4 linked regions of the Caenorhabditis elegans genome follow. The protein of the gene in region 4 purifies or fractionates together with the protein of the main gene of each other region. This does not show direct contact. Each region holds a gene or a part of one and is shown on either strand. Other genes may lie near its edges.

The links.
Region 1: the proteins of dcr-1 (region 4) and rrf-3 purify together in Caenorhabditis elegans (affinity purification with mass spectrometry; 3 studies listed by BioGRID). This does not show direct contact.
Region 2: the proteins of dcr-1 (region 4) and rde-4 purify together in Caenorhabditis elegans (affinity purification with mass spectrometry; 4 studies listed by BioGRID, with this or other methods). This does not show direct contact.
Region 3: the proteins of dcr-1 (region 4) and alg-2 purify together in Caenorhabditis elegans (affinity purification with western blotting; 3 studies listed by BioGRID, with this or other methods). This does not show direct contact.

The regions. Positions count from the first base shown.
Region 1 is NC_003280.10:8,160,650-8,168,473, forward strand, and holds the start of rrf-3 (RNA-directed RNA polymerase), read left to right. Parts: upstream 1-1,815; 5' UTR 1,816-1,908; coding exon 1,909-1,976; intron 1,977-2,031; coding exon 2,032-2,641; intron 2,642-2,687; coding exon 2,688-2,923; intron 2,924-2,970; coding exon 2,971-3,084; intron 3,085-3,134; coding exon 3,135-3,492; intron 3,493-3,537; coding exon 3,538-4,357; intron 4,358-4,404; coding exon 4,405-4,676; intron 4,677-4,721; coding exon 4,722-4,963; intron 4,964-5,005; coding exon 5,006-5,217; intron 5,218-5,263; coding exon 5,264-5,951; intron 5,952-5,999; coding exon 6,000-6,723; intron 6,724-6,767; coding exon 6,768-7,225; intron 7,226-7,270; coding exon 7,271-7,376; intron 7,377-7,427; coding exon 7,428-7,619; intron 7,620-7,665; coding exon 7,666-7,824. Other genes in the region: emb-27 (Cell division cycle protein 16 homolog), read right to left, coding at 1-245, 289-688, 735-1,239, 1,284-1,388, 1,435-1,520.
Region 2 is NC_003281.10:10,216,799-10,220,441, reverse strand, and holds rde-4 (DRBM domain-containing protein), read left to right. Parts: upstream 1-1,795; 5' UTR 1,796-1,797; coding exon 1,798-2,177; intron 2,178-2,226; coding exon 2,227-2,458; intron 2,459-2,502; coding exon 2,503-2,623; intron 2,624-2,671; coding exon 2,672-3,096; 3' UTR 3,097-3,140; downstream 3,141-3,643. Other genes in the region: cox-14 (Cytochrome c oxidase assembly factor 3), read right to left, coding at 1,386-1,488.
Region 3 is NC_003280.10:871,666-879,234, forward strand, and holds the start of alg-2 (Protein argonaute-1), read left to right. Parts: upstream 1-1,546; coding exon 1,547-1,601; intron 1,602-1,986; exon of another isoform or gene 1,987-2,115; intron 2,116-2,494; coding exon 2,495-2,597; intron 2,598-3,194; coding exon 3,195-3,368; intron 3,369-3,437; coding exon 3,438-3,778; intron 3,779-3,821; exon of another isoform or gene 3,822-4,022; intron 4,023-4,069; coding exon 4,070-5,131; intron 5,132-5,362; coding exon 5,363-6,321; intron 6,322-6,772; coding exon 6,773-6,811; 3' UTR 6,812-7,569.
Region 4 is NC_003281.10:8,077,271-8,082,165, reverse strand, and holds the start of dcr-1 (Death-promoting deoxyribonuclease), read left to right. Parts: upstream 1-1,884; 5' UTR 1,885-1,891; coding exon 1,892-1,942; intron 1,943-1,987; coding exon 1,988-2,150; intron 2,151-2,244; coding exon 2,245-2,378; intron 2,379-2,423; coding exon 2,424-2,583; intron 2,584-2,648; coding exon 2,649-2,788; intron 2,789-2,840; coding exon 2,841-3,212; intron 3,213-3,644; coding exon 3,645-3,827; intron 3,828-3,871; coding exon 3,872-4,000; intron 4,001-4,044; coding exon 4,045-4,287; intron 4,288-4,333; coding exon 4,334-4,488; intron 4,489-4,556; coding exon 4,557-4,895. Other genes in the region: apc-2 (Anaphase-promoting complex subunit 2), read right to left, coding at 1-39, 81-156, 203-320, 370-517, 563-806, 850-976, 1,022-1,154, 1,289-1,418 and 1 more. UniProt on the Caenorhabditis elegans protein: Component of the ERI/DICER complex which is involved in processing amplified double-stranded RNA (dsRNA) intermediates during small-RNA-mediated gene-silencing or RNA interference (RNAi). Involved in cleaving dsRNA in the RNAi pathway.

The sequences.
Region 1 (7,824 bases), on a different chromosome or scaffold from region 4:
GTGACGAATCAGAGGGTCATTCGGTGCCCGAGCAACTGCTTCTCCCATGAACTTCTTGCTCAGCTTCTGACTATGCGTACTGTACTGAAGAGAAGTGTACAAGAACGGTTCAGAACTTTTATCCACAAGTTTCGACGCTCTGTAATAGCAACTCATGGACTGTTCGTGTTCAACTTCATAGTGAAGAATATGACCAAAAGCCACCCATCCTTCAGCAAACGTCGAATCCATCATCGTGCATTTACCTAAAGAAGCTCTATTTAAACCTCAATGAAATGGGAAACATACTGATGAAATTTCGAGCTCTTGAGTTTGCTCCAATACTATAATAATACATAGCAACACAATACCATGGAAGTGGAATATGAGGATCATCACTAACTAGTTGATGACCTAATTCAAGCAGAGATCGAGAATCCTTTAACATTGTTAGGCAGTGAATACGAAGAATAATGCACTCAGGATGTGGTCCAAATAGATCAAATAGCTCGTCAGTGATTTTTTTTGTTTCTCGAAATCGACCCATCTCGTAGGCACGTTGAGCACGTTCCATAAGAATTCGTGGATCATGATTTCCTTCGTGTAACTTCAGCTGTTCATTTCTGACTTTTCTGTACTTCTCCCACATCGCAGGCTCAACCAGATTGTATTTTGCCATTAATCGTTCGACATGGAGAGTTGTATTATCCTGAAATAATAAAACACGGTCAAATCATGTATAAAAGATGACTTACAAGACTCAGCGCGTAATTAATACAAATCATTGCAGCATCACGATTCATCAATTTCAAAAAACTTTCTGCTATGGTTATCATAAGAGCTGGAACCATTCTGAGCTTTTTAGAGCTATTATCCAATTCGGCCATATTTGCAAATGAGTACTTCATTCTTTCTTCCTCGACATATCTCCCCGTCACTTGTGAAAGTGTTCGAACAGGAAGAGGTCCAATTTGGCCATTACTTGGAAGAAGATGACCGACCGATAATTCAGCTACATCTTCGTATAATTTCCGTTGGAAAAGTGCGGTAGCGGCATAATAAGCAAAAACAATGTGAATCTGATGATAGTTCCCACGAGCAATAATATGGCTAATACGCCGCCATTGACGGAGAACGACGAGAATTTTTACGTATTCAGCGATGGTGACAATATCTTGCTGTTCATCATCAATTATATTAGAGTATAATGTATCCGCGTAAGCTACAGCTTCATCGGTTCTGCCGATTTCAAGCATTTCCCTAAAAATATAACATATTAATATATATGCTGGTCTCAAACTGACATCACTTTCTCCATGCTCGCCTCGTCATAATACTCCGATCCATCAATTCTACTTGCAAGTGTTTTAATCGGCTTGAAACGAATAGACTCGTGTTTCGGCAAATCTCTGAAAAATTGTAGTTTGAAAAAGAAATGTTATTTATTAAACTCACAAAGATGATGCTGGCTTGCTTGAGGAACCTTCATCAGCCAATGTCGGAATCGCAAAACTTTTTGTATCAGGCGAGATCGCGCTCATGCTGTAAAGGCTTCGTATATTTGTTTAGTAAGTAGAGAACTTAAGTTAAGCAACAAGAATTGTAAAATAGAAATTCAATAATGACGTTAATTGCAATGGAACTGTTGTGAAAAAGTGTTGAGATTATAGTCTTATTTTTAGATTATAATTTTACAGCTTACACGGAGTAGTTACAGCTACTTTAACTAAATAACATAAAGGCGCGCCTAGGCGCTTAAAAACAAAATAAAAAGGATTTAATGCTTGATCAAATTTAAATTTTAGCCGTAACTGCGGAGTCTCGTTGCTAATTGTCAATGGAGCGAACATACATCATCAAATTTTTGAATAAAATTGTTTCTCATTTTTTTCGTAAAATAAATGCCATTTTCAAAAAGTCTTTCACAAAATGCTCCCGTTTGATAATGATGACTCTAGCGATGATGCTACAACTTCTGTTAGGCCGAAGCATCCAAGGTAATTGAAATTCGGTGAGCAAACGGTAGTCAAATGAAACAATGTTTTTTTCCAGAGGAGTTCCTCAGAGTCAATCAACATTTCCACGTGGTAGATCGAATTTTTCGTCTGGAACTTTACCAAATCGAAAAACAGAATGCACTCCAGTGAACACCTTAACAATTGGGCATTCAAACAAGATGCTATTGACAACGTTTCGGATGGATCGAAATTCAAAATCTAAATCGGAAGTTGACGTACAAGAACAGCCTGTTCACTCTTCATCGTCGGCTTTTCCAGGAAATCATTTAAACAATTTTTCGTATCCAGTGAATCGTGGATATCTTCGTGATTACCTGCTACAGTCACAAAGGCCTTCTACTTCAAAACCAGTCGACTGTTCTGTTCTAAAACGGCACTCTCTCCCATCAACTCACATTCTTTATGAGAAAACGAAGCACAGAGGTGGTGTAAATATCGAAGAACAAGAAAAACTCGTGCGGATGTTATGGGCCGCTGCAGAAGAATCGGAAACAGTTGCGAAGACGAGACAGTTTAGTAAAAAACAGGCGATTGAGCTGAATTTCGATGCTAAGCTCATTGGCAGCATGAATAATGATTGCTTTGGATATTGCCGAGCACACATGGAAAATATAAAAGATGTTTTGAAAACACACTTGAAATTGGTAAGCGATTTTTTAATTGGCCGTATTTGAAACAATTTAATTTCAGTCTAAAGTTGACGAGGTAAACTGGATCAAGGTGGGGATGGTGCCACGAGCTGCGTACGAAGATAAATCATACGTCATCGATGCTCATTTAGTTTTGACGCCAAACGGTGAAGTAGAAGATGAAAATGAATTGTTCTCCGAGTTCGCATCAAGTTTCACATCTAGAATAACTGGAATGCTCCATGATCAAGTATTTTTGGAAGTCCCGAAAATGCATACGCTTTTCACAAAAATAACGTAATAGAATACTCATCCGCTTTTTATATACTCAAGTTATAATTTAGACCCCAACACATGGATATAAATATTTCTGCGATTGCGATTGGAAACTGCCCTAATTCAGGACTTTTCCTTGTTAGAGGAGATTTCATCAGTCAAGAAAACACAGTTTGTAGTGTGTAAGTTGCACATATTCTACAGAATTTCTAATCAGATTTTTGTTTTTAAGAAAGCTTCAGTCACACCATAATGCAGATGCATCCCGTGAAAACAGTTCATTCAAAGTGGCAGGAAGCAATAAATACCTCTCGTATGCGAGATTTGAGCATGACAAAAGACTGGCAGTGGTATATTTCGGAGTTCGATTAGCCGAATTCGCTGATGATGGTTTGGATCATGCCGGATTTCGTCTTAATCTATATTATAATTTGTTTGTTCGAATTGTTGTCGACATGTCTCATGAAACTACGAACAGTATTTATATACAAATGAAAAATCCACCGCATCTCTGGGAAGGAATTCCGAAAAATACGATTTTTCACCCATCAAAGTCGAAGGTTCTCAATATGGAAACGTGCACAGAATGGGTGATATGGTATGCAAATAACTTTTAAAAACTTGTAAATTTTCAGACAAGAGTATTGAGTTGGCCTGGCGATGCTGAGGGCCGAGGTGTCGGTTGTACTTCTGAAGCTTTCTCGCAAAGCTCCTGGATCCGGTTGACAATGAGAAAAGATGATGATAACGATTCGGTATCGTCTACACAATTGATGGATATTGTTACTAGACTTTCTGCTCGAAGCAAAGCAAAAGTGATGTTCGGCTCCATTTTTTCAATTCGCCGAAAACTTGCACCATCCCCGGCTTTCCATTCTCTGGGATCTTTCCGAGCGAATTATGCTCTCCAGGCTCTAATCACACGCGGAAGTGTATTTACGGACCAACTTTTCGACGCAACTGATGAAAATATTCCAAGTTCAGACAATGACAATGATGAAGATGATGACGATGATGTTGATGACACGAAAAAGCCAATGGAATTAGTACACGAGCCGCTCTTTCTGAAATTAGTTCGTAGGGGAATGAAAGAATGCTCTCAAGCCACAGAAGAGACTCTCGAACAACTTTTGAATGCATTTGATGAACGTCGTCAAATCGATGTAGTTACCGCGTTCACAACAATGTATCAATCAAGAAAGATTCAATACGAAAGACTTCTGAAAGGAGAAAGCCTTCAAGATGTAGGCCTTGCAAAGCCATTGCCGAAGAATTGTGTTTCAGTGGCTAAAGTTATTGTAACACCATCTCGAATACTGCTAATGGCTCCAGAAGTAATGATGGTAAATCGAGTTGTTAGAAGATTTGGACCTGATTATGCTCTTCGTTGTGTGTTCCGAGATGACAATCTGGGCCGGCTCGCTATTCGCGACTTTTCCATCAATAATATAGATCGTAAGAAATTCTTTAAATATTTTTAAATATATTATCTAAGTTTCCAGACATGTCGAATATTGTCACCGAAGGAATTTATTTGACTCTCAAAAATGGAATTCAAGTTGCTGATCGTGTCTACAGTTTTCTAGGATGGAGTAATTCTCAAATGCGTGATCAAGGATGTTATTTATACGCTCCTCGAGTCAATGCATTAACTGGTGAAGTCACAGGAACTGTAGAAGATATTAGAGTATGGATGGGAGATTTCCGAGATGCGATTAGTGTTCCAAAGATGATGAGTCGAATGGGACAATGCTTTACACAAGCACAACCAACGGTATATTCTAGTGTTAAAAATATTCATATAGTCGAAAATATTCAGGTACGTCTTGAACGACATCACTGGATCGTTGAACCTGACATTGAAGGTGGTGTAGAGAACAAATATTGTTTTTCTGATGGTTGTGGTCGAATTTCTATCAAACTGGCAACACATATATCTAAGATTCTCCAATTGAAGGAAGTACCAGCTTGTTTCCAAGTGCGATTTAAAGGTTTCAAAGGAATTCTAGTTATTGATCCAACAATCGATGATATTATAAATATGCCTAAAGTTATCTTCAGGTAGTGATGATCTATCAAACAAATTATATGATCAATTTTCAGAAAAAGTCAGCAAAAGTTTGGTGAAGGTGGTGGAGAGCTGCAAGATGAATACCTCGAAGTAGTAAAATACGCTATGCCATCTCCAGTTTGTCTCAACCGTCCATTCATTACAATCCTGGATCAAGTGTCGGAAAAACAATCTGCAAGCTCTCACAGAAGGATCACAAATCGTGTTCATTATTACTTGGAAAGAGAACTATGTTCTCTGAGTAGTATGTAGTTACTGTATGGTTACAAATCATAATCTCCTAATTTTAGATATGCTCATAAATGAAAATCAAGCAGCAGAAGAGCTAGTCAATCGCACAAACTTGGCAATCGACTGGAACGCAGCAAGCAAACGAGCCGGGTTCGAATTGAGTGTAGATCCATTGATACGAGATATGCTATTCTCTATTTATCGCTACAACATCATCCATCACATTTCTAAAGCTAAAATTTTCTTGCCTCCAAGTTTGGGAAGATCAATGTACGGTGTTGTCGATGAGACTGGACTTTTACAGTACGGACAGGTTTTCATCCAGTATTCACCAAGTATCCGACAAACCAGTAACCGTCCAATATTGAAAACAGGCAAAGTTTTGATTACCAAAAATCCGTGTCACGTTCCTGGAGATGTTCGAGTTTTCGACGCAGTTTGGCAACCAGCATTAGCTCATTTAGTCGATGTTGTAGTATTTCCACAACATGGCCCACGACCACATCCCGATGAAATGGCAGGTTCAGATTTGGATGGAGATGAGTATTCTATAATATGGGATCAAGAAATGCTACTCGATTATAATGAAGAAGCAATGGTTTTTCCGAGTAGTTCAGCTGCAGAAGAAGACAAAGAACCTACTACAGATGATATGGTTGAATTCTTCCTTCGATACCTTCAACAGGATTCAATTGGAAGAATGAGTCACGCTCATTTGGCTTATGCTGATCTTCACGGACTTTTCCAGTATGTTCCTTGAAATTATCCATGTTAAGCCAATATCTTATTTTTCAGCGAAAATTGTCACGCCATCGCGCTCAAATGTGCAGTAGCTGTAGATTTTCCGAAAAGTGGAGTTCCCGCGGAACCATTGTCAAGTTTCGAGCAATGCGAAATGACACCTGATTATATGATGTCAGGTGGAAAACCGATGTACTACAGTACCCGATTAAATGGACAATTGCACCGAAAAGCTCGAAAAGTTGAAGAAGTTTTGGAAGAATTTGAAACACGCGGGAGTGTATTCGAAAGAGAATATGATAAACTGATTTGTCCAGAAGACGTTGATGTTTTCTTCGGAAATGAAATAAAACTTGTACAAACATTGACTCTTCGCGATGAATACGTTGATCGAATGCAACAACTTTTGGATGAATATGGAATTGAAGACGAAGCTTCAGTTGTGTCTGGACATGCTGCAAGTATCAAGAGATTAGCTGGAATGGAGAGAGACGACTATTCATTTTATCACACTGATAAGGTCGTTGAGCTTCGTTATGAAAAATTGTATGCTGTATTTCGTGCAAAATTCTTTGAAGAGTTTGGTGGAGAAGAAATCAACATTGAGAATGATGGAAAGAACACTCGGTTGAAATGTACGAAGGCAATGCATGAAAAGATTCGGCAATGGTATTTCGTGGCATATGTGCAGCCAAAGATAAATAAGGCTGGAAGATGCATTGGACAGAGTCTTCCCTGGGTTGCTTGGGATGCATTGTGTGATTTGAGGCGACAATTAGTAAGTTAAAATTATGAAATAAATATATTAATTTTTTGTTGCAGATGCTCGATAAAAATGACGCAGTTTTACGAGGCAAATATCCAATTGCTGCTCGTTTAGAAGAGGAGATCGAAAACTCCATTGAAAGGCAGTTTGACAAGTTTCTCAAATTGAAAGATTTGATTGAATCTCACAAAGATGCGCTTTTCCTGAGACGATACGTATATTTTTATGGAGATCAGATTATAAAAATGTTGTTCATCCTGAAAGTTTGGCTTGAACGAGAAAATGTGCTCCCATCAAGTGTTTTGTCGATTTGGCAGCTGGGAAGACTTTTGATTCGTCTAGGGCTCGGAGATCTCCTGGGAAATCCCACTATTGATTATGAAAAAAGTCTTCTGATGCCAACAACAATGTTTCAGCAATGGATTTCGAAGAAAGAAGATGCAGATGAAGCTCCGATATTGAGAAATTTCGATATGGGAACAATGATGCTCGAATTTCTCAGATATTTGGCAAGGTAAATTTAAAAATCTAGTGTTGGAAAAATTTTTCAATATTTCAGTCAATCTTTCGCATCAGCTGAAAGCATAAGTCTTCGAGTTTTCTACGAAAAAGATATTGTTGAGCCAATACTTACTAAAAGTGCACAATGGATGCCTTTACATCTTGTAAGCTCGATCTTTAATATTCCAGATCTATCAACAAAAAACATATTCCAGATTGCATATCGTACATTTCATTCCATCGCTGTGTCTGGACGGTTTGATGCGCTTCATTTGGACGATGAGGATGCGGTGGATCAGATTACAGAAAGCAAGGATCCAATACTAGTTAACGAGTCATTGTTCTCTTCGAGAAACTACAACGATGATTATCCGATCAGTAGGAGTAGAATATTGCAATCTTTGAAGGTAAGTGGTTCGAAAATACTTTTCGTTTCTAGTGAAAAACTTTCAGGATTGGTCTGGTGTCAAAGAAATAATTCCTCGCGAAATCACTGGAACTCGGAAGTCTGATATGATCTATGTTACATCAGTTGGAACGGTTCTTGCACGACAACGCCTCGCTCGACTTTTACTTCTCAGTGGAGAGACAATTAGGGACGCGATTGCCAAC
Region 2 (3,643 bases), 2.1 Mb from region 4:
TCCGTTTTATCTCAAAATATTACTAATTTGTCTCAAAAGACTGCGAACTCGTCTCCGAAGATTGAGATTTCATCTGCAAAGATTGAGATTTCGTCTCAGAATATTGCGATTTTGTCTCAAAATATTGCGAATTTGTCTCTAAATATTAAAAATGCATTCATCGACTATTCTAGAACTGTTTTGTGATAACTCGAAGAACTTTTGTTGCCATTGAGGGGAGTTGAACTTGTCCGTCGCTTGTCGTTGAGTCTATAAACCATTATCTTACCTGTTGAGCCATCCTGTACGTGTCGCATCTAGATTTAGTTATTGCTTAAGTAAATAGTTGATGGGCGCACGTCCTTTTCGTTACCTTTGATGGGAAATCAGTGACTTTTCGCAAATTTTCTAAGTGTCAGAGCGAAATTGGATAACTTTCTTTGAAAGCGAATGTGGAAAAACGATTTATTTGTTATGCTTTTAAAAAAGTTAGATGTGCAATTTTTCCGAATTTTTGTCAAAGAGAGAAAAACATTTTATTTTTTCAATATTTTTTTTCACTAACAATTTGATTAAAATGATGAGTATACTGGGAACATGCTTGCTGTTGACAATATTTTATGATTTCAATTGAAATCAGAAAATCTCAAACGCATCACGCGTGAATGAATAGTTGTAAGTCTACTTTAATATATTCGACCAATCTTCGTGATTGTTTGACTGAATTTGTAATATGACCGGCCAATTATCTAGAAAAAATTACATGAGTGGACAGATTTGTGAATTCTATGGCTTTCTCTGCAAAAACTCCTTCTACAATATGCAACGAAAAATCAAATATCCGTTAACAGTGAGATGCTCCATTATATAGATTTTCATGTAGCTGTTTTTTACTTTGAAAAGTCTTTTATCATTTGGAAGAAAAGAGAATTTAGAACGGAACAGTAATCATAATTGTTGTATATATATCACGATCATGTGAAGCCGATGGAAATTTGGAAATGGTGTTTCGTAATCTTTATGGACTGCAAAAAGATTGCAAATTAATCTTAGAATATTACACATTTTTTTGTAATATTTTTAGATTTCAGAAAGATTGCGAACCAATCTCAAAAGATTGCTATGTCATCTCAAAATATTACGAATTTTTCGTAATATTTTCAGATTCAGAAATATTGCGAATCAACCTCAAAATATTGCGAAATATTCTCAAAAGATTGCTCAATCTAAAAAGATTTCGAATAAGTCTCGGAATATTGCGATTTTATCTTGAAATATCACCCAACTACGAAAATATTGCTATTTAATATTTTCATATTAGATTTGAGTTGCCTGAGTACTACAACTTGGAAAACATATTCGTCATGTTTCGATTAAATAAATCGTTGTCTAAATCATGTTCTTACCCTTATGAGCGATGTCAAGTCGACGATTTGTGAAGATTCTTCGGTAAAGCGGTCGACTGTCTTCTCTCCTTCGTGCCGCGAACTGAACTCGCGACCAAAACATTCACTGCAAAAATAAAAAAATAAAAAAATTAATTTCAAAGTTAAAAAAATGAACTGTAAAATAAGGAAAACACTTTAAAGATCACTTTGAAAAATATATTTTATTAAAATAAATAAATTTTATTGAAGCAATCGTTATCCGAGAGGAGTACACAGCAAATCGCACAGTTGAAACAAGTGTTACCGTACCACCGGTCTCGTTGCCTTTGATGAGAAATTACCGCAAAACTTGAAAATTGAACGTTTTTTTCTTTTCGTTTCTTTAAACGAGATCCGCTATTATTTTTGTTTCAAATTATATTATTTATAGATGGATTTAACCAAACTAACGTTTGAAAGCGTTTTCGGTGGATCAGATGTTCCTATGAAGCCTTCCCGATCGGAGGATAACAAAACGCCAAGAAACAGAACAGATTTGGAGATGTTTCTGAAGAAAACTCCCCTCATGGTACTAGAAGAGGCTGCTAAGGCTGTCTATCAAAAGACGCCAACTTGGGGCACTGTCGAACTTCCTGAAGGCTTCGAGATGACGTTGATTCTGAATGAAATTACTGTAAAAGGCCAGGCAACAAGCAAGAAAGCTGCGAGACAAAAGGCTGCTGTTGAATATTTACGCAAGGTTGTGGAGAAAGGAAAGCACGAAATCTTTTTCATTCCTGGAACAACCAAAGAAGAAGCTCTTTCGAATATGTAATGCTTTCAAGTTTATCAAATTGAATTATATTTCAATTGTTTTCAGTGATCAAATATCGGATAAGGCTGAGGAATTGAAACGATCAACTTCAGATGCTGTTCAGGATAACGATAACGATGATTCGATTCCTACAAGTGCTGAATTTCCACCTGGTATTTCGCCAACCGAGAATTGGGTCGGAAAGTTGCAGGAAAAATCTCAAAAAAGCAAGCTGCAAGCCCCAATCTATGAAGATTCCAAGAATGAGAGAACCGAGCGTTTCTTGGTTATATGCACGGTAGAACTGCTAATTAATAACTCGAAAATAATAAAAAATTTCAGATGTGCAATCAAAAAACCAGAGGAATCAGAAGTAAGAAGAAGGACGCAAAGAATCTTGCAGCATGGTTGATGTGGAAAGCGTTGGAAGACGGTATCGAATCTCTGGAATCATATGATATGGGTATGCCTCCAAATAATTGTAGTTAATATTTAATTTTACTGCTTTCAGTTGATGTGATTGAAAATTTGGAAGAAGCTGAACATTTACTCGAAATTCAGGATCAAGCATCCAAGATTAAAGACAAGCATTCCGCACTGATTGATATACTCTCGGACAAGAAAAGATTTTCAGACTACAGCATGGATTTCAACGTATTATCAGTGAGCACAATGGGAATACATCAGGTGCTATTGGAAATCTCGTTCCGGCGTCTAGTTTCTCCAGACCCCGACGATTTGGAAATGGGAGCAGAACACACCCAGACTGAAGAAATTATGAAGGCTACTGCCGAGAAGGAAAAGCTACGGAAGAAGAATATGCCAGATTCCGGGCCGCTAGTGTTTGCTGGACATGGTTCATCGGCGGAAGAGGCTAAACAGTGTGCTTGTAAATCGGCGATTATCCATTTCAACACCTATGATTTCACGGATTGAAAATATTATTGCGTATTCCTGAAAAATGAAGCGTCTGAATGATTATATCCTTTTTAAATATTTTTTTGAATAATGCCATTCAGAGTTGAAACTACTCGAAATTATATTTTTGTCGTTCTTTGTGTTTTCTCTCCCTCCATTACTTTTCCTCGTGTCAATTCTACTGTGATTGTTCTTTGTGTGCCTGCCGCGTGGTAAGATTGTGTGCGAAACGTCACAGTTTTGTGCGTTATGGTTTCTATTTCTATGAAGACAATGTGCTCTCACTCCATCAACGGGCGGCTGTGTTTTATCATTACCTCCATCACTTATAGAAACAGTAAATACCAATGATGTTCTTTGTCCGTTTTCTCCCCAACGTGGTTCCATCAATCATCAATAGAATTCTATAGAAGATGCGTAATCTCTATGCCTCTGACCTCTACAAAACTCTTTTCCACACTCATTCTCTGCAGTGCACGAGAGCGAGATTTAGAGAAGAAAAGAAAAAAGTGTGCGGCCTGCGCGCCGCCCGTCCTCATTTTTGAACGAGTGTGGGTCGCGGTCG
Region 3 (7,569 bases), on a different chromosome or scaffold from region 4:
TGTTGCGTGGATTTTAATAAAATGTTTTTTTGGTACTAAAAATGTTCCTAAATTTTTCTATATTTTGCTAGTTACCGGCTCAACGAAGGTGGTATATTTTAAAATCTGAATATCTGTAAATCTACAAAAGTTAGCAAAAGATTGTCAATTAACAAAATAATCTACGCAAATTGTTCTATAAGTTGTTAATTTACAAATTTTTTGTAGCTCAACTTTGAGCATAGTTATGATAGCTCTAAGTAGGGACAGGTTACCTGATTTTTATCAATTTTAAAACTTAAATATCTCCAAAAGCATCAAAGCTAATAAAAAATGTTGGGTATCTACGTGTACCTTACCCTTAACGTGGATATGAAGATCGTGTAACGTGAACTCATTATCTATGTATACTAACTTTCTATTTATTCCTTAGTTATGTAATAATAAACTACTCGTCTTCGCCTCCTTGTTCGGCCTCGAATATATAACATTGGCGATCAGGATCTTTCGGGCTCACTGCACCACTGACTTCATGCACATGTCTACTTAGAAGAAAAGACCTCTGAGGTATTGTTTTGATCTACACATGTCTACTGGGAAGAAAAGACCTCTGAGGTGGATCAGGTCAGCTTTGGGAAGAGGCACCTGCCGTGCTCTCTGCAGTTGCAGTCAAGGTGGACAGGAGCGGCTTCTGGTTTGAAGTCGAAAAGAAGAAGGAATCATTGCTCAACTCTTTTGAAGATGCGAGTGAAGGCCACCTATGCGTTTCAAATGCTCAGTCATTGGACGATTGCACAAATTGTTATTGGTCATAACATGATCCACAACCAGGAACTGGGATACAACAGGTTGATGGTGGAACAGGCGGAATCAGTGTGGATGATTCAAGGTTGGGTCTAATATTCAGGCAGCAACGTTTTTTTAGTCTGTTGGTGAAGGGTGGATAGACATCAAAAATATTTCGATTGGTACGGGAAGTGTGGCTAACTTGGAACCCGCAATTGGAGGATGTGAACACCGAAGTACCGTGTGCAAAGGATTGGCAATATCGACGGTCACACTGGAGGGTGGTCCGTGAGAACCTCAGAAGACATTCGTGGATGGCTCCTCACCAAAGCTCTCGTTTGTCATTGAAGAGGGGAGATGTTGGGTATCTACGTGTACCTAACCCTTAACGTGGATATGAAGATCGTGTAACGTGAACTCATTATCTATGTATACTAACTTTCTATTTATTCCTTAGTTATGTAATAATAAACTACTCGTCTTCGCCTCCTTGTTCGGCCTCGAATATATAACAAAAAATTAATAACAGGCAAAATGATTTACACAACTTTCTCTATATTTTCTTAGTTGACAACTTTTTAATATCTCAACTTACCGCAGAGTTATGACGGCTCAAACTAACCTTGGCTCGCTGCCAATTTTCCCACGTTCCTCCTCCTCCTCCCCCTACCCGAACAGTCTGCCCCCAAAACTGTGTCTGCGTCTCCTTATCGCGTCCCGTCATCTAACACTCCCAACGGACCGTCTTCCCACCTGTCAATTTCCCTGTTTCTCTGCGTCTATGTTCCCTCTGCCTGTACACAATGGTCCTAGACTTGGAAAATTATCGATTTTCGGTTAGTGGTCCGAGATTACCCGCGCGCGCGCATTTTTGAGAGGCCAGCTGTGTTGGTCAATCGTTTTTCTTGCGATTAGGGGGTTTCTCTTTTCATTTTCTCAGTTTTAAAAATAGTTTTCATTTTTAATTTTGATTTTTCTCATTAAAACTTTAAAAAGCTTAAAGTTTTCTCTAATTTATTAAGTTTAACATTTAGAAAATAAGATTTTCAACCCAAATTTCCATATGAAAATCGAAATTTTATCCCCTATACAATTCAAATTCCCCACGCTCCCCAACCCTTTTCTAATTGAGTTTTGGGGTGCATCGAAAAACACGCCAGTGCACCGAAAGTGCGCCAGCTAGCCCGTTGACGGCATTCCTTCCCCCGAGGGAACACCCGCTTTCGCAATGACTTTTGAAGCCGATTTTGGAGGTCTAAACTAGTTTTTTTGAGATTTTAACTAGAAATTCGAAAAATTCAGTTTAAATTCTATATAGATCTTAGGTTTTTTGAGGAATCTAGGTAAATTTTGGATTTACCAATTGGTATAGTAAAGTTAGTGTGGTTTTTTAGATTTTTGAAGTTCTCAGCAAATTTTCCTTTAATTTTGCCAAAATTTTCTATATTTTCCACAGCGAACTTTCAATTTTAAAATACTCTGAACAAATTTACTAAATAAAATCGAAAATTTTTTGGCATTTTATCGATTTTTCTCAAGTTGCCAACTATGTAATAACCTCTATGATTTCAGAGAGATTTTTGATTTTTCCCACTTAAGTATGTCTGCACTTTAAACCAAAAATTATGGGGTTTCATGCTTAAAGTTCACATTTTTTCTGTGTCTGGGTGTGCTGCTCCGTTTTGTTCTTTTTCGTGCAGCTTCTCATTATCAAATAAAATGTTTTCAGAAATGCCCGGCGATTCGCTGACATCGTCGTCTTTCATGCCAGATGGTGGCGCAGAAACGTCGAGCTCTTCACAGTTGGGCGGCTCGGCTCACGGAGCAATTGGGTAAGGTTTTGAATTTTGTGCAAAAGTTTTGACTTAAATCTGAGTTTGGCTCGATGTGGAGCAGGAAGTCTAAGCTTCTGGGCTTGTTAGAGCTGGATTTTGGGCCCAAAAACTATATTTGGAGCCCAGAACTGGGAAACTTAAACCAGAGCCTCTAATAACTTGAATCTAGTGAAAAATCTGACACTTACAAAAAAAACTGAAGTTACTTCAGACTTGGACTTTAAATTTAGAATGTGAGCTCACATTGGCTGAGCTTCAAGTTTTTAGAATTTTGGGCTTTAGCTATAATTCTATTAAAATTTTTAGAGAATGTCCGGAAATTTCAGTCCAAGCTTAAGCTTAAGCCTAGACCTAAGCCTAAACTCACACCTAAGCCTAAGCCTAAACCTACGCCATCAAATTTAAGCCTAAGGTAAATACCACCCGACTAAACCAAAGCCAACTCTTGAGCCTAAATCAAATTCCGACCTTCAGCGTCTGTTGAAGCTTTCAATTTAGACTTAGCCTAGGCAAGCCCAGAAACTTTAGCTCCAGGCCTGATTTTTATTTAGTCTTCCTGTAAGATTCCTGAATCTCTAATTTTCCAATTTTCAGCACAAAACCCGACGCAGGCGTCCAATTCCAGTGCCCAGTCCGTCCGAACCATGGAGTCGAGGGCCGATCCATCCTCCTGCGAGCCAATCATTTTGCAGTACGGATCCCCGGAGGTTCAGTCCAACATTATCAAATTGACGTCTTTCCGGACAAGTGCCCAAGACGGGTTAATCGGTAAGTACTTTTTCTATTGATTCGGGGTTCCCTTCAAAACTTCAGCTCTGAAATTTTAATCATTTTCAGCGAGGTAATCGGCTGCCTGATCTCCTCCTTCTCAAAATATTTCACCAATATTCGACCAGTCTACGATGGAAAGCGTAACATGTACACGCGGGAGCCCCTACCAATTGGCACGGAGCCCATGAACTTTGAGGTGACGCTGCCTGGAGATTCAGCAGTGGAACGGAAGTTCTCAGTGACGATGAAGTGGATCGGTCAGGTCTGTCTGTCAGCTCTGGACGATGCCATGGAAGGTAGAGTGCGGCAGGTTCCACATGAAGCCGTTCAGTCGATCGATGTGATTCTTCGCCACTTGCCAAGTTTGAAGTACACCCCGGTTGGAAGGTCGTTTTTCACACCTCCAGGTAAGATCTCAAGTTGCTTGGTTAAGGATCTAGGACCTAGGATTTAGGATCTAGAGTATAGGATCTACGATCTAGGGTCTAGGATCTAGGATCTAGGATCTAGGATCTAGGATCTAGGATCTAGGGTCTAGGGTCTAGGATCTGGGATCTAGGATCTAGGGTGTAGGATCTAGGATCTAGGATCCAGAATCTAGAATCTAGGATCTAGGCTCTGGGATCTAGGCTCTAGGATCTAGGCTCTAGGCTCCTACGCTCCCAGACAAACTTCAATACTCCAACTATATCTTTTAGGCGTCATGAAGCCCGGCATGCAAATGCACCAGGAGAGCAAACTCGGTGGAGGCCGCGAAGTATGGTTTGGATTCCATCAATCCGTCCGACCATCCCAATGGAAGATGATGCTCAACATTGACGTCTCCGCCACGGCCTTTTACCGCGCGATGCCAGTCATCGAATTCGTCGCCGAGGTGCTCGAGCTCCCAGTCCAAGCTCTCGCCGAGCGTCGGGCCCTCTCCGATGCTCAACGCGTCAAATTCACCAAAGAGATCCGTGGACTCAAGATTGAGATCACCCATTGTGGAGCCGTGCGCCGGAAGTACAGAGTTTGCAACGTCACACGCCGCCCGGCCCAGACCCAGACCTTCCCATTGCAACTGGAGACTGGCCAAACTATTGAGTGTACTGTAGCCAAGTACTTCTTTGACAAGTACCGTATCCAGCTGAAGTACCCCCACCTTCCATGCCTCCAAGTCGGTCAGGAGCAGAAGCATACGTACCTGCCACCAGAGGTCTGCGATATTGTTCCAGGACAGCGTTGTCTGAAGAAGCTCACCGATGTGCAGACGTCCACCATGATCAAGGCCACGGCTCGTTCCGCTCCAGAGCGTGAGCGTGAGATTTGTAAGCTAGTAAGCAAGGCTGAGCTCTCCGCGGATCCATTTGCTCATGAATTCGGAATCACTATCAATCCAGCAATGACTGAAGTCAAGGGACGTGTGCTCTCGGCTCCGAAGCTTCTCTATGGAGGTCGTCATCGTGCCACAACTGCCCTTCCGAACCAGGGAGTCTGGGATATGCGCGGGAAGCAGTTCCACACTGGAATGGAAGTCCGTACCTGGGCGATTGCATGCTTTGCTCAGCAATCTCATGTCAAGGAAAATGATCTCAGGATGTTCACGACTCAATTGCAAAGGATCTCTACCGACGCTGGAATGCCAATCATCGGTACCCCTATGTTCTGCAAATATGCTTCTGGAGTGGAGCAGGTGGAGCCGATGTTCAAGTACTTGAAGCAGACCTATTCGGCGATTCAGTTGATTGTGGTGGTGCTGCCAGGAAAGACTCCGATCTATGGTAAGTTGATTAATTGTAGGTGAAAGTTCTAGGGTGTTGGTGTAAGCTTTACGCTCCTAGGTTCCAAGGATCTAGATCTTAGATCATGGAGTCCTGGGATCCTAAGCTGCTAGGCTCTTGGAATCCTAGGTTCCAAGGATCTATGGCCTAGATCATTGGGCTCTGAATCTTGGGACCAAGATCATCTATATCCTTACCTCTTCAACCCCATCTGAAGCTCTATATTTTCAGCCGAAGTGAAACGCGTCGGAGACACCGTCCTCGGAATCGCCACCCAGTGCGTCCAGGCCAAGAACGCCATCCGAACCACCCCGCAGACACTCTCCAACCTCTGTCTCAAGATGAATGTGAAGCTTGGTGGAGTCAACAGCATCCTCCTGCCAAACGTGCGTCCACGGATCTTCAACGAGCCCGTCATCTTCCTGGGTTGCGACATCACCCATCCAGCAGCCGGTGATACCCGTAAGCCATCCATCGCCGCAGTGGTAGGATCTATGGATGCTCACCCGAGTAGATATGCGGCAACAGTTCGGGTCCAGCAGCACCGTCAGGAGATCATTACGGATCTGACATATATGGTTCGAGAGTTGCTTGTCCAGTTCTACCGTAACACGAGGTTCAAGCCAGCCCGAATTGTGGTCTACAGAGATGGAGTGTCTGAGGGTCAACTCTTCAATGTGCTCCAATATGAGCTCCGCGCAATTCGTGAAGCTTGTGTGATGCTTGAGAGTGGATACCAGCCAGGAATCACATTTATCGCTGTGCAAAAGAGACATCACACAAGGCTCTTCGCCGCGGATAAAGCTGATCAAGTAGGAAAAGCATTCAACATCCCACCAGGAACAACTGTAGATGTGGGAATCACGCATCCAACGGAATTCGACTTCTTCCTCTGCTCCCACGCTGGTATCCAAGGAACATCCCGACCATCTCACTACCATGTGCTCTGGGATGACAATGATCTGACGGCCGACGAGCTTCAACAGTTGACCTACCAAATGTGTCATACCTATGTAAGATGCACGAGGTCTGTGTCGATCCCGGCGCCGGCGTACTATGCACATCTGGTGGCGTTCCGTGCTCGTTATCACTTGGTCGATAGGGATCATGGATCCGGAGAGGAAGGATCACAACCTTCGGGGACGTCGTCGGAGGATACAACATTGTCAAGCATGGCCAAGGCCGTACAGGTGAGCATTGTTTGGATTTTGAGATAGAGTGTAGGCAGAAGCATAGAGCTAGGATCTGGGCCTAGATTATTTATCTAGACTGAGATCAGGATCTGGGCTGAGGCTTGAGGCATAGGAGCCTAGGAGTCTAGAAGCGCAGTCCTTGAAGCATAGACCAAGACCCAGACCTAGACCTAGACCTATACCGAGAACTAGACCTAGACCTAGACCTAGACCTGGACCTAGACCTAGACCTAGACCTAGACCTAGACCTAGACCTAGACCTAGACCTAGACCTAAACCTAGACCTAGACCTAGACCTAGACCTAAACCTAGAACTAGACCTAAACCTTGATCTAGACCTTGATCTAGACCTAGACCTAGACCTAGACCTACACCTACACCTACACCTACACCTACACCTACACCTATACCCACGCTTTCCTAACCTACTAATTTCAACTTTTTCCAGGTTCATCCCGACTCGAACAACGTCATGTATTTTGCCTAAGTCTCCAACTACGGATTCTCTGCCATTTCACAGCCACTTGTTATCTATGCATCTCGATTTTCATTTTTCCCGTTTCCTCTGCCCCCTGAGATTTTCATGTTTTTCCTTCCCCTAATTATCAATATCAATCAATACTTTAATATCTTTCAAGCCCAGGTTTATAATATTTCCAATTATGTTAGGTGTTTAATTTTCACCAAGTTTTTTTTCCATTTTTTTCCAAATTTCTTGAGCCATTTTCCATACTAGCCACACAATGCTTTTTCGATCCTCCAAATACTTTCCATTTGTGTCTTTATCCCCCTCTGCTCTAATTAAATACGACCTTATCACTCAATTGGTACACTTTGTTGTAAACTGTCTTTCTCTTAGTATCTGAAAAAAAACCTCATGATTGTCCTGTTTTTCAACCCACCCCCACCCACAATGCCTTTTTGTGTTTCCCAATGGCAAGTCCAACAGAATAAAGTGATATTTTGGAACCCACAGGATGTCCGCTGCTATTAGGGGGCCCGTAAGATGGGCGCTGTTTCTGTACGCCAGTGAGATGTCCGCTGCTTCTAGAACACCATTAGATGTCGGCTGCTCTATTGGGCTCGGGGCATGTCCGCTGCTTTAGCAAACGCTGCTCTATTAAGCCCGTATGATGTCCGCTGCTATTAGGGAACCTGTGGGATGTCCACTGCTTCTAAAAGCCTGATTGTCTCCTACTTTGCACCAGTGATCCCGTAAGATGCCCGCTGCTTCTGAGAACCCAT
Region 4 (4,895 bases):
GTCCATCATTGCCGATCGAACAGTTTTAGACTGTAAGCTCTTGAAAAGTGTTAGAAAACGTTTTTTTAGTACACGCTTACCATATCTTTTTCCAGTTCATTTTTCTTATTAGAAGTAATGTAACTGATAATTTGTTGTACAGTGTCAGGTCGCCTTCTGAAAAAAAAATTAAATATAATTAAACAATCAGGAAATAGCTTACTTCAAATATTCTCTGATAACTCCACAAACTTTATGCATAACCACGCAACTATTGTCCATTTCACGAAGAGATTCTACGCACGCCGCATAAGCTTTCAAAATGTCTTTTGTATCAACCGCTGAAATTTTAAATATTTAAGTTTTAAATAATTCCCCTCACCAACTTACATGCAACAAGAAGTTTTGTGTTAACTTGATCTATCAAGTAATTTGTGAAATCGACTCTCCCATGATTATTAGTTCTCAAAAGGCAATATTTCATTGTGATGAGACTGCGAAATTTTACTGGAAAATCTACGGCGATCATTTCATATGCCTACAAAAAATATTTTTTAGGTTCCAAATTTTTTTAAAAACTCACGTTTTTGGAAAGCATTTGGAAGACATCTTTGTAAATAGTGTCACTAATTAAATGGAATGCGTCTTGCATTGTTACTTGATCTGACCAAATCCTCAGACTCTCCATAATTTCTTGAAACATTGAACATCTCAGCTCATTGTCAAAAGCCGCTTTCTCGTGCATCACCAATGTTGCAGCAAGCTCGCGAATATACACTGAAAGTGCTGCGTTCATGTGACGATTTGCATTGAGAATTCCAGTTTTTCTGAAAATGTTATATATAATTTAGGAAGTCAGGCTTTACCCACAATTCATTGACAAAAGGATTAAAATCTTGAACATATTGCCCGCATATTTCTTTTTTTTCTGGTGTCCACAGCTCTTGGTTTAAATCGATTCCATGATCGATTTTTCGATGAGGAAGGTACATGGCAACTGAAAAATGTTATTGGAAACTGGGGCTGAATGAAAAAAAAATACGTCTGTAATTAGTGAAGTGCGACATAAAATAAGGTCTGAGAACTTTGATAACAACTTTCTGCATGGCCAGTGGGAAGATGAGCTCTGCAGCATCGCGAATATCCGGTTGACCAACGCCTTTTTCCAATGCAAACTGAAATTATTTTCCATTAGCTTGTTACACCTCTATTTTCTGACCGTTTTCCATAAGGAGAAGATTTTTCAGAGCATTTAATTGAGAATAAGGCTAATTTGTTCTTGATTGGATTTAAAAATTTTAAAACTCACCATCAGGCATTCTTGCTGTACTCGTTGCAGAACTGTCGTCATATCATAAACTTTTTCAATATTTTTTGCGTATTTTGCGTGATATATCAGAGCATCCCAGACTTCTTTTTTCTTTGAGACGCAAAATTGTCTGAAAACTGTCTTTACGGAACTCATTTTCAAAAATTCCATACCTGTACTTCATCGCAGCCTCTTTCGAAGTAGTCATTCTGTCAAAAATGGACATTTTCGAAATGGTTAAAATAATTTCAGCAAGGATACGAGAAGAGAACGATGACAAATGTGTGAGAAACTGTATATATTAAAGGATCATGCTTAAAACGAAGGTTGGGGTCTCGGAAACTACATTTCCACAAAAACCGCGAATAAATGTTCCTTTAAAAATTATACGAAAAAATGTTTGTTTCTTTTTTTTCACACGATTTTTCAGAGTATTTTCTTTCAAATTTCTGTCGATTCCACTTTTCCTCCGTCTTTTGAATGTTCCCATGAAAGAGACATAGACATTGGTTCAGTAGAGCGCATACTACGGGGCAGTCAGCGGCAATTATTTTTTATTGTAATTTTTGAACATTATCAATTTTCCCTGTTTTCAGACCAATAATGGTCAGGGTAAGAGCTGATTTACAATGTTTTAACCCCAGGGACTACCAGGTAATTTTTAAGTAGCAAAATAAATTAAAAATAATCGATTTTCAGGTGGAACTTTTGGATAAAGCGACAAAAAAGAACACAATCGTCCAACTAGGCACTGGTTCAGGAAAAACTTTCATTGCAGTTCTACTGCTGAAAGAATATGGAGTTCAATTGTTTGCACCATTGGATCAGGGTGGAAAACGAGCGTTTTTTGTTGTAGAGAAAGGTAATTTCGTCTATTAAAAATAAGCCAGCTGGCCAGTAAAGTGAATAATTGACAAAAAAAAACAAGATTTATTCTAAAACATCATTTTTTCCAGTAAACCTCGTTGAACAACAAGCTATCCACATCGAAGTTCACACAAGTTTCAAAGTTGGTCAGGTCCACGGACAGACAAGTAGTGGTTTATGGGACAGCAAAGAACAATGTGATCAGTTCATGAAGAGGCACCATGTGAGTGAGAATACGAAGCTGAACTATCGAGCATATATATTTCAGGTTGTTGTGATCACAGCTCAATGCCTTCTTGATTTGATTCGACATGCGTACTTGAAAATTGAAGACATGTGTGTTCTGATCTTTGACGAATGTCATCATGCTCTCGGTTCTCAACATCCATACAGAAGCATCATGGTCGATTATAAGTTATTGAAAAAGGGTAAGTATTGAGGAATTAATGGTGAAACTTCGAATTCGCTTCAAAATACGGAAATATTTTTTCAGACAAACCCGTCCCACGTGTATTAGGACTCACAGCCAGTCTTATCAAAGCGAAAGTTGCGCCGGAAAAACTAATGGAACAGTTAAAAAAGTTGGAATCTGCGATGGACAGTGTTATAGAGACAGCTAGTGATTTAGTCTCGGTATGATTTAAAAAAGACAAACAAAGACTTGTTTCCAATAAAACTAATTTAGCTCTCGAAATACGGTGCGAAACCCTATGAAGTTGTGATCATCTGCAAAGACTTTGAAATTGGGTGCCTGGGTATTCCGAATTTCGACACAGTTATAGAAATATTTGATGAAACTGTAGCCTTTGTGAACACCACAACAGAATTTCATCCAGATCTAGATTTGGATCCTCGTAGACCGATTAAAGATTCTCTCAAGACGACGCGAGCTGTTTTTCGTCAACTGGGACCTTGGGCGGCATGGCGAACGGCTCAAGTTTGGGAGAAAGAGTTGGGAAAAATTATAAAATCTCAAGTGCTACCGGATAAGACGTTGCGGTTTTTGAATATGGCAAAAACATCTATGATTACGATTAAAAGATTGTTGGAACCGGAGGTGCGTACCTAACAAGAGACGTTGGAAAATGGTACCTCGAAGTATCGTTATGGTATAGCAATTTTTCGACAAAAAAGTGTTATCATTCGAAAAAGTTCGTAACTCCCTACTCACCAAGAGAGCTACAAATCTTGAGCAAGATTTCAAATTGTAAGATTGTAGCTCAATTCATGGCTTTTTGAGAATTATGGGCTGAAGCTTGAATGCTATATGTTTTTTAAAAACAATTTACGAATATTTGGAAACACTTTTTTTAAGTTGAAAGTTTTTTCAAAAGGGGTGAAACTGCTCGGACGCAGCTGAATTTTTGGAATGATCCTCAATAACACTTTTAATCTAAAATTACTATTCTATATTGAACTCCAAGTTAGCATTTTCCAACTTCCAGTGTAAGCAATCAACTATTAATTACACCAATTTTTTCCAATTTAGATGAAGAAAATCAAAAGTATTGAAGCTCTCCGTCCATATGTTCCTCAACGTGTCATACGTCTTTTCGAAATCCTAGAAACTTTCAACCCCGAATTTCAAAAAGAACGAATGAAGTTAGAAAAAGCAGAACATTTATCAGCCATTATTTTTGTCGATCAACGGTACATTGCATATTCGTTACTTGTAGGTTTATATGAATGTTACGGTAATATATTGTAAATTTTCAGCTTATGATGCGTCATATTAAATCATGGGAGCCTAAGTTCAAGTTTGTGAACCCGGATTACGTCGTTGGAGCCAGCGGACGAAATTTGGCGAGTTCGGATAGTCAAGGATTACATAAACGACAAACTGAAGTAAATTTATGTTTAAATTATCATTGTCTAAATATAATTTTTAGGTTCTTCGCCGTTTCCATCGAAATGAAATCAATTGTCTTATCGCTACATCAGTGCTTGAAGAAGGTGTAGATGTTAAACAATGTAATCTTGTGATTAAATTTGATCGACCACTTGACATGAGATCATACGTTCAGTCAAAGGGAAGAGCTCGGCGAGCTGGATCAAGATATGTTATCACTGTTGAGGAGAAAGATACTGCGGCGTGTGATAGTGATTTGAAAGATTTCCAGCAAATAGAAAAAGTAATATTGGAATCTTCAGTTCAATTGTTTAAAAAATGATATTAAGATTCTTCTTAGCCGCCATCGTACAGTCAACAATCCTATTGAAGATGATTCGGATAGATTTGAAGAATTTGATGTTGATTCTCAAATGGAACCATATGTTGTTGAAAAAACTGGTGCAACATTGAAAATGTCAACTGCTATCGCATTAATTAATAGGTATATTAATAATTTCACTTTAGAAGTTTAATCCAACAGCTAAATACAAACAATTGGTAATCTTCCAGATATTGTTCGAAGCTTCCTTCCGATATCTTCACTCGTCTTGTTCCACACAATCAAATCATTCCAATTGAAGAGAATGGAGTGACCAAATACTGTGCAGAGCTTCTTCTTCCAATTAACTCACCGATCAAACATGCAATTGTGCTCAAAAATCCAATGCCAAATAAGAAGACTGCACAGATGGCAGTTGCACTTGAAGCATGTCGACAATTACATTTAGAAGGAGAACTCGATGATAATTTACTTCCAAAAGGAAGAGAGTCGATTGCCAAATTATTAGAACATATTGATGAGGAGCCGGATGAGTATGCACCTGGAATTGCTGCTAAAGTTGGATCATC